2 linked regions of the Arabidopsis thaliana genome follow. The protein of the gene in region 1 interacts with the protein of each later gene in a pairwise test. Each region holds a gene or a part of one and is shown in the gene's direction. Other genes may lie near its edges.

Region 1 (5,830 bases):
AAGGCCTCTCCATATGAAGTCCATTAGGTAATATATTTGTATAATGTGACAGCGGTATGCTTGTATTTCCATTGCATTTGGTCTAATGGTAAAAGTGAAAGTATTTTTACTAGTTCTTGCTAAAATAAGAGGGTAATATGGTCCATTGGTCCTCATCTGGTCTAGTGTTAAATCTCTAGGAATTTCCTGATTTTCTGATCACTTTTTAGCTGGAACTCAGACCATCTATTAGAAAAATGTCAATGGTGCATGTTCTGAGAATCAAACACGGGACCACTAGCACCCAAAGCGAGAATCATACCAAATGCCCTGTACGTTGTTCGATTAACGCCTCCTATTAGCATTTTCTCTTTTCTTATAGAAATTTGTTGCTCCGTTTGCTATTCTGGTTGAATCTTAATTGAAATTCTTTTTCTATATCCGCATCTCATTCTTGGTGAATCTGGCTGATAGTCCTTCATGTATGAAGGTTACTGGTTACAAAGATTTAATGATTGTACAGTGAAGAGTGGTATGTTCTTCTTTTCGTCTGCATTAAGCTCCTTATATTTTATCTTGCTGAAATGAAAGGGTATTCTATAGTTCTTACTTTGGTTTAGTACTAAATAAAGATCTGATTTTAAGCCACGTTCTTCTTTAACTGAGATCATCTACTATAGAAAAAAGTCAATGGGGGCATTCCGAGAATCGAACTCGGGACCTCTCGCACCCAAAGCGAGAATCATACCACTAGACCAAATGCCCTGTTGTTGATTTAGTTACATTGAAGCATTGAAGCATTTTATTGTTTGATCTTGTGGATAAGAGAATTCACACTTTACTCTATTTTTAGGGAAATCTACTTTTGGTTGTTCTATTCTTGATGAAGCTAGCAACATGCAATAAGTTCAAAATTTTCTATATTTATATTGGAATCTGACGTTAGAATGCTGAATGTTCTCTTGTTTGAAAAATCTGACGTTTTAGATCTAGTTCTATCAGTTGACTTTCAGGGCTTAATAGTAAAGGTGGACACTGTACTTTAATAGATGAAATGTTAGCTGGTTAAAACATTTGTTTTACAAAAAGTCAAAGGGGCATTCCGAGAATCGAACTCGGGACCTCTCGCACCCAAAGCGAGAATCATACCACTAGACCAAATGCCCTGTTTGTATATCTTGTTATGTTAACGCATTCTACTTGCATTCTGTTTTTTCCGTGACGAGAATTTATGCTTTCCTTTGCTTTTCATTAGATGATTATTAAATATTTCCGTGCTGTTTCTGCGGCTCAATCTTTGGCAGCATACACAGCGTGTTTGTCTTTTCTGTATGAATTGTACTGGTTAAAAAGACATACATTATTGGACGTGAAACTGCATTATGTTCTTTTTCTTTGCATTATGCACTTGATCATAGAACTTTAAGGAGCTTTTTTGTTTTTGCTTTTCACTTGCTAAATTGGAAGAAAAATATATGGTCTGCAGTTGGTTTATATGTGAAAGAATAGGACTGGTTTTCTAGGGAAGCTAGCATTGAGAACAGATGATTTACGAAAAGTCATTGGGGTTTTCCGAGAATTGAGCTCCGGGCCTCTCGCACCCTAAGCAAGAATCATACCACTAGACCAAATGCCCTTCTTTTTTGTATTATGTTTTTTAGTTAGTACTTTCTATTAGCATTCTTGCTTTTCTTTCAGAGATTTGTTGCTTCGTTTGCATTTTCCGTAGATACATAATCAAAATTCTTTTCTGTTGATGCAGATCATTCGTTGTTATCTGGATGCTAACAAAACATGAAGGTCTTCCCTATGTGAAGATTACTGATTAATATCTATTGATTGGATGTGATAGATTGGTATGTTCTTCTTTTCCTTTGCATTATAGGTCATCTAACATTTCGAGAATCGAACTGGGTCATCGACTTAAAAAATTTGATTATGTTAAAATCTGTATTCAAATATATAAGTTAAAGATTGGTATGTTCTGTTTGAATATAGGTCATGTACTTAAAAAAAGAAGTCAAAGGGGCATTCCGAGAATCGAACTCGGGACCTCTTGCACCCAAAGCGAGAATCATACCACTAGACCAAATGCTGTATTTGAATGCCCCCACTGAAGCATTGTGTTGTTGTGTAATCCTGTGGAAAAGAGAATTCATGCTTCACTCCGTTATTACAGGAAATTAAGTCATGGGGGTTTGTTTACCTTTTGAGGGTTCTATTCGTGATGAAGCTGGCAACATGCAGTAAGTTCAAACTCTTTAACTTATATAGAATGCTTTTTTGTTTAGATAAAGAAATTATGTTTAAGATTTAGTTCTATTAGTTGATGGATTTAGTTCTTTCAGGGCTTAATATATTTAGAACTTATGTATTTAAAACTATATATTTAGTTCTTTCAGGGCTTAATATATTCAGAACTTATATATTTGAAACTATATATTTAGTTCTTTCAGGGCTTGATATATTTAGAACTTATATATTTAAAATTATATATTTTGTTCTTTCAGGGTTCTAACTTATATATTTAGAACTTATATATTTAGTTCTTTCAGGGCTTAATGGATTGTCTGTAATTGAAAATTGATGAATTGACCCTAGTCATTCCTATAATTGAACTCGGGACCTCCCGCACCCTAAGCAAGAATCATACCACTAGACCAAAAGCCCTGTTGTTTATGCAATCTGGTTCAAATATTTTTGTGGTCTTCTAGTTTGTTTTTTGAAAAAGAGGCTGAATTACGAAATGTTTACTAGTTGAAGCTAAGCTGCAGAAGGGAGGTGTACGTCATCGCCTCATCGGGCATGTAAGCAAAGGTATGTAAAAGTTCTGGAAAAATGTGATTTGATCATAGAGCTATACCAAATTCTTGGTTATTGACTATTTTTGTTAAGATCATAGAGGATCCCCAATAGAAGTGCCATTGACAATTTATTTCTTGTTGCCTAACTGATATAAATATGAATTTACTTCCGTCTCTCTATAGGTTTGGCTTTACCAGCCGAAATTTATGTCTAGTACTATTAGTTGACTTTCATGGCTTTATGGTGAATGTGATTTGTCTGTAAATTTTAATATTTGTTGAAACATAACACAAAACCACAAAACCTTGAATTGCTGAATGTTTATCTATAAAAGATCTAAGAGGCAAATATATGGGAATATATGGAAAATTTTGTTACCTGTTATTCTGAGATAAATAAGTAAATATTGAAAAAATCTTTTATAAGATTCTCTTTGGGAAAATAGAATATCGCATGATAATAATCGGGAGACATTAAAGTAGAAATACAAATACGTAGACACAAAAACCCTAGAACAAAAGATGATGCTTCGTGTGTAACGTATTAGAGAAGGAACCTTAAAAACGTCAGTGATATTCACATTAAATTGGGATGACTTGAGTTTGGTGTTACATCCAAATCCGGTTATATATAGGTTAAATTGTTGTGTGCGAATCAACAGAGAGAGAGAAAAGGGCACATAAAATAGGTGAGTCTCCTAAACATGCCTTCCTTCAACTCCTCCGGCAATCTCGCGGTGGCCGTTGCTCTTCTCTTTGCGGGCGCCTTATATTTCTATTTCTCATCAATTACGGTTTCTGATCCTATGTCCGATCTACTACACAATGTCGAAACTGTAAGTTACTTTATAATAGAATCGGAATTTGAGAGTAAATATAGGAAGATTTTAAATGTTTTGTGTTAAATAGAGATGGACAGAGTATCCTGTGGACGAGCTAGAGGCGGTCCTAGACAAGGCAGCAATGGGAAACAACAAAACGGTGATTATAGCAATGGTGAACAAAGCTTACGTGGAGGAGGTTGAAGGAGGGAGGACAATGCTGGATCTGTTTTTGGAGAGTTTTTGGGAAGGAGAGGGTACTCGGCCGCTTCTTGACCATCTGATGCTAGTGGCAGCGGATCAGACTTCCTACGATCGTTGCCTCTTCAGGAGGCTCCACTGCTACAAGATGGATACCGATGGGGTTGACTTGGAGGGAGAGAAGGTATATATGTCAAAAGATTTCATTGAGATGATGTGGCGGAGGACTCACTTGCTCCTAGACGTCCTCAGCCGCGGCTACAATCTTACTTTCACGGTTAGGTCCGTCCCTTGGTTTTGGAATGTATAACAAAACACCTAATTTGTTTCTCTATAAGTAGTGTATGTATATGTCAGGACACGGACGTGATGTGGCTAAGGAGCCCTTTTCCCCGACTAAGCTACAACGAGAGCTTGGATATGCAGATAAGCGTGGACAGTATTGGCCTGGTTGGAGGACACTTGATCAACACGGGATTCTACCACGTCAGGTCCAACAACAAGACCATCTCCCTCTTCCAGAAATGGTACGACATGAGGCTCAAGTCGACGGGCATGAAGGAACAAGATGTCCTTAAGAGTCTCCTAGACTCTGGTTTCTTTAACCAGCTTGGCCTCAACGTTGGCTTCCTCAACACTACCGAATTCAGTGGCTTCTGCCAAGACAGCCATGACATGGGCGTTGTCACCACCGTCCATGCCAACTGTTGCCGCCACATCCTTGCTAAGATCTCTGATCTAACTCTTGTTCTTCGTGACTGGAAACGCTACAAAGCCTCCCATGTCAACAGCAATTGGAGCCCCCATGTTGAGTGCGGGCGTTCATGGAGTGACACTCACTATATCCCCAAGCTCTGACCTTCTTCGTTCATATATGCCAATTAATGAGATTGCTATAGTATACACAACTTCATCATCTATTAACTGCATATGTTCTTCAGATTAATCCTAGCTAGCTAGAGGAACAATTCTCTTTTGACAAGTAATTACAAAACATCATATATGTGTGTTACAACCAGATTGTTTTTCGCTCTTCGTTACAGCTACCCAAATAATTGCTGATAATTCTACTACCTAGCTAGCTACTTGATAAAAAGAACACATAGAAGACAGAGTTTCAAATCCAATGCACAAGTTGGTGGATAAAAACCAAATGAATGATCGAGACCTCGTGCACCAAAAGCAAGAAATATCATACCATTAGACCAAATGCTATGTTGCTGATGTAAAACTTAAATACTTGATTTCTCTTCTGTTTTGAGGAAATCAATTGATGTAGCATACAAAACTGTTTTCTGTACAGCCAAAGTGAGTCATCGGATGTGAAAGAAAGGTAATTTGTGGATCCACTTTTTTTGTTTTGAAACTTCAGGCACTTGATTTCTGAAAGTCTGGATGGGGATACAATAAAAAAACAACAATACTCTCATATATTACATGTGAAAATGTTTGATGCAATCCGGTGATGAATAGTTTAGTCAACCTTTGATGAACAGTATCATCAGGCGGTTATGAACATTGTCTTTGAGAATGACATTTTGTGTAATTGAAAAAACGAGAATGATATTTATGGCTTTAATTTTTTTCCTATTTTCTTCTTACATAATTTTCGAATTATCATTGGTATGTAAATCTAATTTTAAGTCTTTTGGGTATATAAATTAACTAAAACAACAATTTCATTTTATTTTGTTACAGGAAAAAGAATTGAAAAGCAGTGATTTTCTCATATATTAGGATTTGATCTGCAGTAGCCGCATGATAATAATTTTGTGCATATACATAAAGTCTTTGACATTTATTTTAAAATTGTGCATATTTTACATATTGAAGTTTGTATTTAAAAATACTTAGTTTTATAATCAAGAAATCAGTAATATCGCTGATAAATATGACTAATTGGATTAAATTTGATATAGTCTATATATTTGAAGTGTGTAATTTGTGAATATGAATTTTAAGTAACATCATAATAACTACTGCTCTATATAACATTGTGGAGGTTAAAATGTAAGAAAGGAAAAT
Region 2 (5,623 bases), 5.1 Mb from region 1:
CATCGTTCATGAGAGATTCCCCATCAATTAACGTGGTCATCTTCTTACTAGCACCAAGCTCCTTTAGCAAAGCAACAACAGCCACGGGGTCGGTAGCTCCTAAAAGTCCTCCAAGCAACAATGATGTTTTCCAGTCCCAGTTATATGGAAAAGTAAGCTACAAGAGCATAACTCGAAAAAATTGTTAAGTTAATTGAAGCTCACTTAATCACAGTCGAAAATGTTGAAGCTAGTTAAAGTACCTTTATAAGAGCTCCGAGACAAAAGGTGGAAATCAGAACTCCAGGTCCAGCAAGCAGAACCATTTGTCCCATACATCTCTACCAATGATGTAAAACAATCAATACCAGGAACCAACACAGCCAAGGAAGTAGCTCAATCAGGAAAGTAAAAACCTTGATCTGGTGCACATCCATGGAGAATGAGCTCTCGAAAAGAAGAACAGGGAGAAAAACAGCCAAAAGTAGGTCAGGGTTGATACCATTCCCTGTAAAGTTGCCATTTTTTAGAGCTCGTAATCTAACAGTATGGAGAAGAGAAAATACAGTAGCTTACAGATACGAATTCCATGGCCGAGCTTCCCAAGGTTATGCTTAGTTCCATATTCTACAGAAGCAAAAAAATCCAAAATTTAACTACTTTCTAAAATCTTCCACGAAATTGAAACTGAGCTATAAAGCTTAATGAGCAAACAAATAAGACCTAGGGATCCGAGAAAAATGCCGATGACGAGAAGAACGACGGTGTACGGAACTCTAGTGCCGTTAAACAAATATCTACAAGCGGTGCCGAGAACCAGCGAAGTTCCCGCGAAAATAACAGCATCAACAGGACTCGAATCGTTCTCAGCTGAATACGAAGAAGATGCAATTGCTTTCTCCGGTGATTTGTACGGCAACGCCGCGCCGATTATACTCGTCATCTCCGGTAGAAAGAAGCAAACGATCAATCTTTCGTTTTGCCAGTGATTACGGTCAAAGATGCTTTTACCGAACCGAATCTGCTTCGTTTAAGAGTGAACCAAGATTGAATCTAGTCTGGTTTGGCTTGACCTGTTTTATTTCGGTTACGTCTGGTTTTCTATCACTAATTTGAACGAAAATTTGAGAAATCTTAATACGTTTTTGATTAGGTTTCTGTTTTCTTTGCTAGATATGAATGTAGTTACTGGATTATACTACTCTGTTCAAATGAAGGGTACATATATTTACATGAACCAAATTATGAAATAACAAAACCGACTCACTCTAGTCTCTAAACTTAACTAGTGTCACTTTTGTTTGTTTGTTTTGATCCATACTTCAATGTATCTTGTTCAAATTGTTTGATTTTATTTTTGGTATAAGTGGCTACATTGTAATTTCTTGCTGATTCAATCTATAAATCGAAAACCTTAAATTATCCATGCCTCAAAACGATGCACGTTGTGTATAAATGAGAATTTTAAATTGTTTAGTTTCTATAATTGCTGTCATGACGTGAGATCATGCAAAGCAATTACGTACGATAACGCACGTAAAGGAAAAATGATTATCAGATTCATATATTTTTTTTTTCAAAAACTTGGTCTCGTGTAACATCATTCGTCATTCTTCATATTCACTATACTATAACCACAAAAGATATTAAAAAAATAGTCACTCCACTCCACATCTAATACAAAGAAGTAATAATTTAACTATTCAAAATTTATGAAGTGTTAATACGATAAGATTTTCGACCCAAGGAAAAAAAACACTATAAGATACATAGGTTTGGCAGAACAATTAGTTCGCTCACTGCCTACATATTCTTTTTTTGGTTTAATTAGCCTACATATGGGAAAATGATTTGTATTTTGTTAAATGCCACTCACATTTGTTATAAATAATTAGTCTTGGTTTCAAAAGCCATATATTTATGAATTTATAGACATTGATATTTATTTTTATGGTTGGAAATGGTATAAAGTATTATTGACTATAGTTTTTTTATGTATTTTTCTTATGAAATAAAGTGAGAAAATAATAAAAATATTAAAATTTGTGTAGCTGACTCGAGTTTGATTGAAGTCTTTGGTATATAAATATTGTCGTTATTTCCTCCATTTTTCTCCCTCTTCTCCCAAATAAAAAAAGTTACTCAGATCTCACGATTTGAGCAGAATACGCAATGAGGACACCGACGACGATTCTCCTTCTTGTCGGAGCTATCCTCTTCTCCGGCGCCGGCTATGTCAGATCCGACGCCTCCGACCACCGTTACAAGGAAGGAGACACCGTTCCTCTCTACGCCAACAAGGTCGGCCCATTTCACAATCCAAGGTAAACGGAAACATCTATTCTAGATCTGAGCTTCAGATCTGAGGTTGTTTCCCATTCTTAAGCCTGAGGATGATAAATTGATCGTTTATTGTTGAATCTGTTGCTATTGAATTGAGTAACGACATTGATAACTGAGTACACTGCAAAATGCGTAATGTTAAAACCAAAGAGTGAAAGAAGAAACTACATTTGGAATGTTTTTCGTTTATGTGATGGATCTGTCTTAGATTTGAATACTATTATATGACTGATTTTGGTTTTGTTCAATGATGATTGCAGTGAGACGTATCGATATTTTGATCTTCCCTTCTGTATCCCAGGTATGCTTATATCTTTACTAGCTTAATCACACGATTTGTGTTTAAGCCGCAACTGATTTGTGTGACATCTCCTGATTCGATCATCCCATTATTGAATATGGTTTATAGAGGGTGTGAAAGAGAAGAAGGAAGCTCTTGGCGAGGTTCTAAACGGGGATCGGCTAGTTAGCGCTCCATACAAGCTCAACTTCAGAGATGAAAAAGAGTCTGAGGTATACTGCAACAAGAAGTTGAGTAAAGAAGAGGTCAAACAGTTCAGAAAAGCTGTTGAGAAGGACTACTACTTCCAGATGTACTATGATGATCTACCTATCTGGGGATTCATTGGAAAGGTTGACAAGGATATCAAATCTGATCCGAGTGAATTCAAATATTTCTTGTACAAGCACATTCAGTTTGAGATTCTATACAATAAGGACCGTGTGATCGAGATCAGTGCTAGAATGGATCCTCATTCGCTTGTGGATCTCACTGAGGATAAGGAAGTTGATGCAGAGTTTATGTACACTGTGAAGTGGAAGGAAACTGAGACTCCTTTTGAGAAAAGAATGGAGAAGTACTCTATGTCTTCTTCTCTTCCACATCATTTGGAAATCCACTGGTTCTCCATTATTAACTCCTGTGTCACTGTCCTTCTTTTGACTGGATTCCTTGCAACTATCTTGATGCGAGTCCTCAAGAACGATTTCATGAAGTAAGTTTCAAGTTTCCTCACTGTCGACTGTTTTACACTTGTCTATCTCATCTAACCTTATTCCAATGCTTAAAAGGTATGCTCAAGATGAGGAAGCTGCTGATGATCAAGAGGAAACTGGATGGAAGTACATTCATGGCGATGTGTTTCGGTTCCCTACTCACAATTCTTTATTTGCTGCATCGCTCGGTAGTGGCACTCAATTGTTCACGCTGTAAGTCTCTCATAACTCGAATACTTTCCATCTGGATACACTTTCATCCATATCCGCATTTCTTCTTACTGTAACTAACTGTAGCTTTTCCTTTTATTCCATGTCATCAGCACCATATTTATTTTCATGCTTGCTCTTGTTGGAGTGTTCTACCCATACAACCGAGGAGCACTCTTTACCGCTTTGGTGGTCATTTACGCTCTCACTTCTGGAATTGCCGGATACACATCTGCCTCTTTCTACTGTCAACTTGAAGGAAAAAGCTGGGTAAATATTTACACATGATGAGAATCATCCCTGTCTCTCAAAAAATCATCTTCAACTGAAATAAACAACTTCTCCCTTTTTTGACATTATTGCAGGTGAGGAACTTGTTACTCACTGGATGTCTCTTCTGTGGCCCATTATTCCTAACCTTTTGCTTCCTTAACACCGTAGCCATCACCTACACTGCAACCGCTGCATTACCCTTTGGAACCATTGTGGTGATCGTCCTTATATGGACTCTAGTTACCTCACCTTTACTCGTTTTGGGTGGTATCGCGGGTAAAAACAGCAAAGCAGAGTTCCAAGCACCATGCCGTACAACCAAATATCCTCGTGAGATTCCACCACTCCCTTGGTACAGAAGTGCTATTCCTCAGATGGCCATGGCTGGTTTTCTTCCTTTCAGTGCCATCTACATCGAGCTTTACTACATTTTCGCTAGTGTCTGGGGTCACCGGATCTACACCATCTACAGCATCTTATTCATCGTTTTCATCATTCTCATCATCGTCACTGCTTTTATAACCGTTGCCTTGACTTACTTCCAACTCGCTGCTGAAGATCACCAATGGTGGTGGAGGTTCGTTAAACTCAGCTAATCGTCTCTATTCTTTTCTCTCTGACCATGAGAACTTGAGTCTGATTCTACAAATTTCTATTGCAGATCATTCCTATGTGGTGGATCGACCGGTTTGTTTATCTACGCATACTGCTTATACTATTACTACGCACGATCAGACATGTCGGGTTTTATGCAAACCTCGTTTTTCTTCGGATACATGGCTTGCATTTGCTACGGATTCTTCTTAATGCTCGGAACAGTTGGCTTCCGCGCAGCCCTCCTCTTTGTCCGTCACATTTACCGGTCGATCAAATGCGAGTAAGAAGGTCTGTACACCAATCTTCTTATGTTGATTTCCTTCTTCTTCTTCTGCCTTCTTACGAATTTTGCTTAGAACAAAGAAGATAAAGAGATAGGTTGTTAGAAAGAAGAGAGACACAAAGACAATGTCTGATTATTTTCTAAAGAAGCATCTCTTCTCATTAGAGGTTTTAGCGAGAGTCTCTCTTCTTCTCTCTTTATTTTGGGCTACAGAAATTAAATTACTTGTATCCTTTCTATATATTTTACCTATTGTAAAAGACTATCAATACCTTTGAATTCGAGTTTCTTTGTATCTAATAAATTTCAAAACACACATATTTTCTCCTTCATATATATCTTCAGTCTATACTGCACAATAAAAATAATAATTTGAAGATGTAACTAAATAAATATTGGAGAGCTAAATTGAAGTAAATTGCATATTTTTGTACTTGTTTGGATCCAATTGAAAGATCCAAGGTTGATACCACCGACATACAAGGACATAGTGTTAGCTCTTTAATGGGCCAAAATCTCGGCCCAACTATAAATGGTTTCATTGACCAATAATTAGTGCCACTGATTTCAATTTTGAAATTCGAATCCTCCTCCTTTGGAATTCAGAAACCCTAGAGTTCTTCAGCGAGCGAACTCTGTCTGCGATTTCTTGTTGATTCTAAATGGATCTCTCGCGAGAAGTCGATGACTTTATCAAAGAGACAATCGATCACTCTTTAGGGCTTCCGATATCCATGGACGTTCTCCAGAAAAAGCTCTACACGGCGGAAGAATCTCAGCGTCGTCTCCGTGAACAGTATCTATCTCTGGTTTCGAGATTGAAAGAGAAAGAAAAAGTAATCGATCTCGTTAGATCCGAAGCGAGTATGAATGCCCAGTCGCTGAAGAAATTCGTCGAAGAGAATCAGAAATTGGGAAGCGAGCGCGAGGATTTGGTGAATC

What was found.
Region 2: the proteins of AT1G28710 (region 1) and AT1G14670 interact in a protein complementation assay, tested with the Arabidopsis thaliana proteins (one large-scale study listed by BioGRID).

The regions. Positions count from the first base shown.
Region 1 is NC_003070.9:10,085,683-10,091,512, reverse strand, and holds AT1G28710 (Nucleotide-diphospho-sugar transferase family protein), read left to right. Parts: upstream 1-1,740; 5' UTR 1,741-1,835; intron 1,836-1,977; 5' UTR 1,978-2,225; intron 2,226-2,534; exon of another isoform or gene 2,535-2,736; 5' UTR 2,737-2,796; intron 2,797-3,046; exon of another isoform or gene 3,047-3,445; 5' UTR 3,446-3,487; coding exon 3,488-3,619; intron 3,620-3,692; coding exon 3,693-4,082; intron 4,083-4,162; coding exon 4,163-4,663; 3' UTR 4,664-5,147; downstream 5,148-5,830.
Region 2 is NC_003070.9:5,035,518-5,041,140, forward strand, and holds AT1G14670 (Endomembrane protein 70 protein family), read left to right. Parts: upstream 1-2,058; 5' UTR 2,059-2,151; coding exon 2,152-2,303; intron 2,304-2,582; coding exon 2,583-2,623; intron 2,624-2,731; coding exon 2,732-3,317; intron 3,318-3,393; coding exon 3,394-3,531; intron 3,532-3,641; coding exon 3,642-3,798; intron 3,799-3,893; coding exon 3,894-4,378; intron 4,379-4,462; coding exon 4,463-4,682; 3' UTR 4,683-5,080; downstream 5,081-5,623. Other genes in the region: NHX8 (Na+/H+ exchanger 8), read right to left, coding at 1-157, 243-320, 396-487, 556-606, 703-922; AT1G14680 (early endosome antigen), read left to right, coding at 5,344-5,623.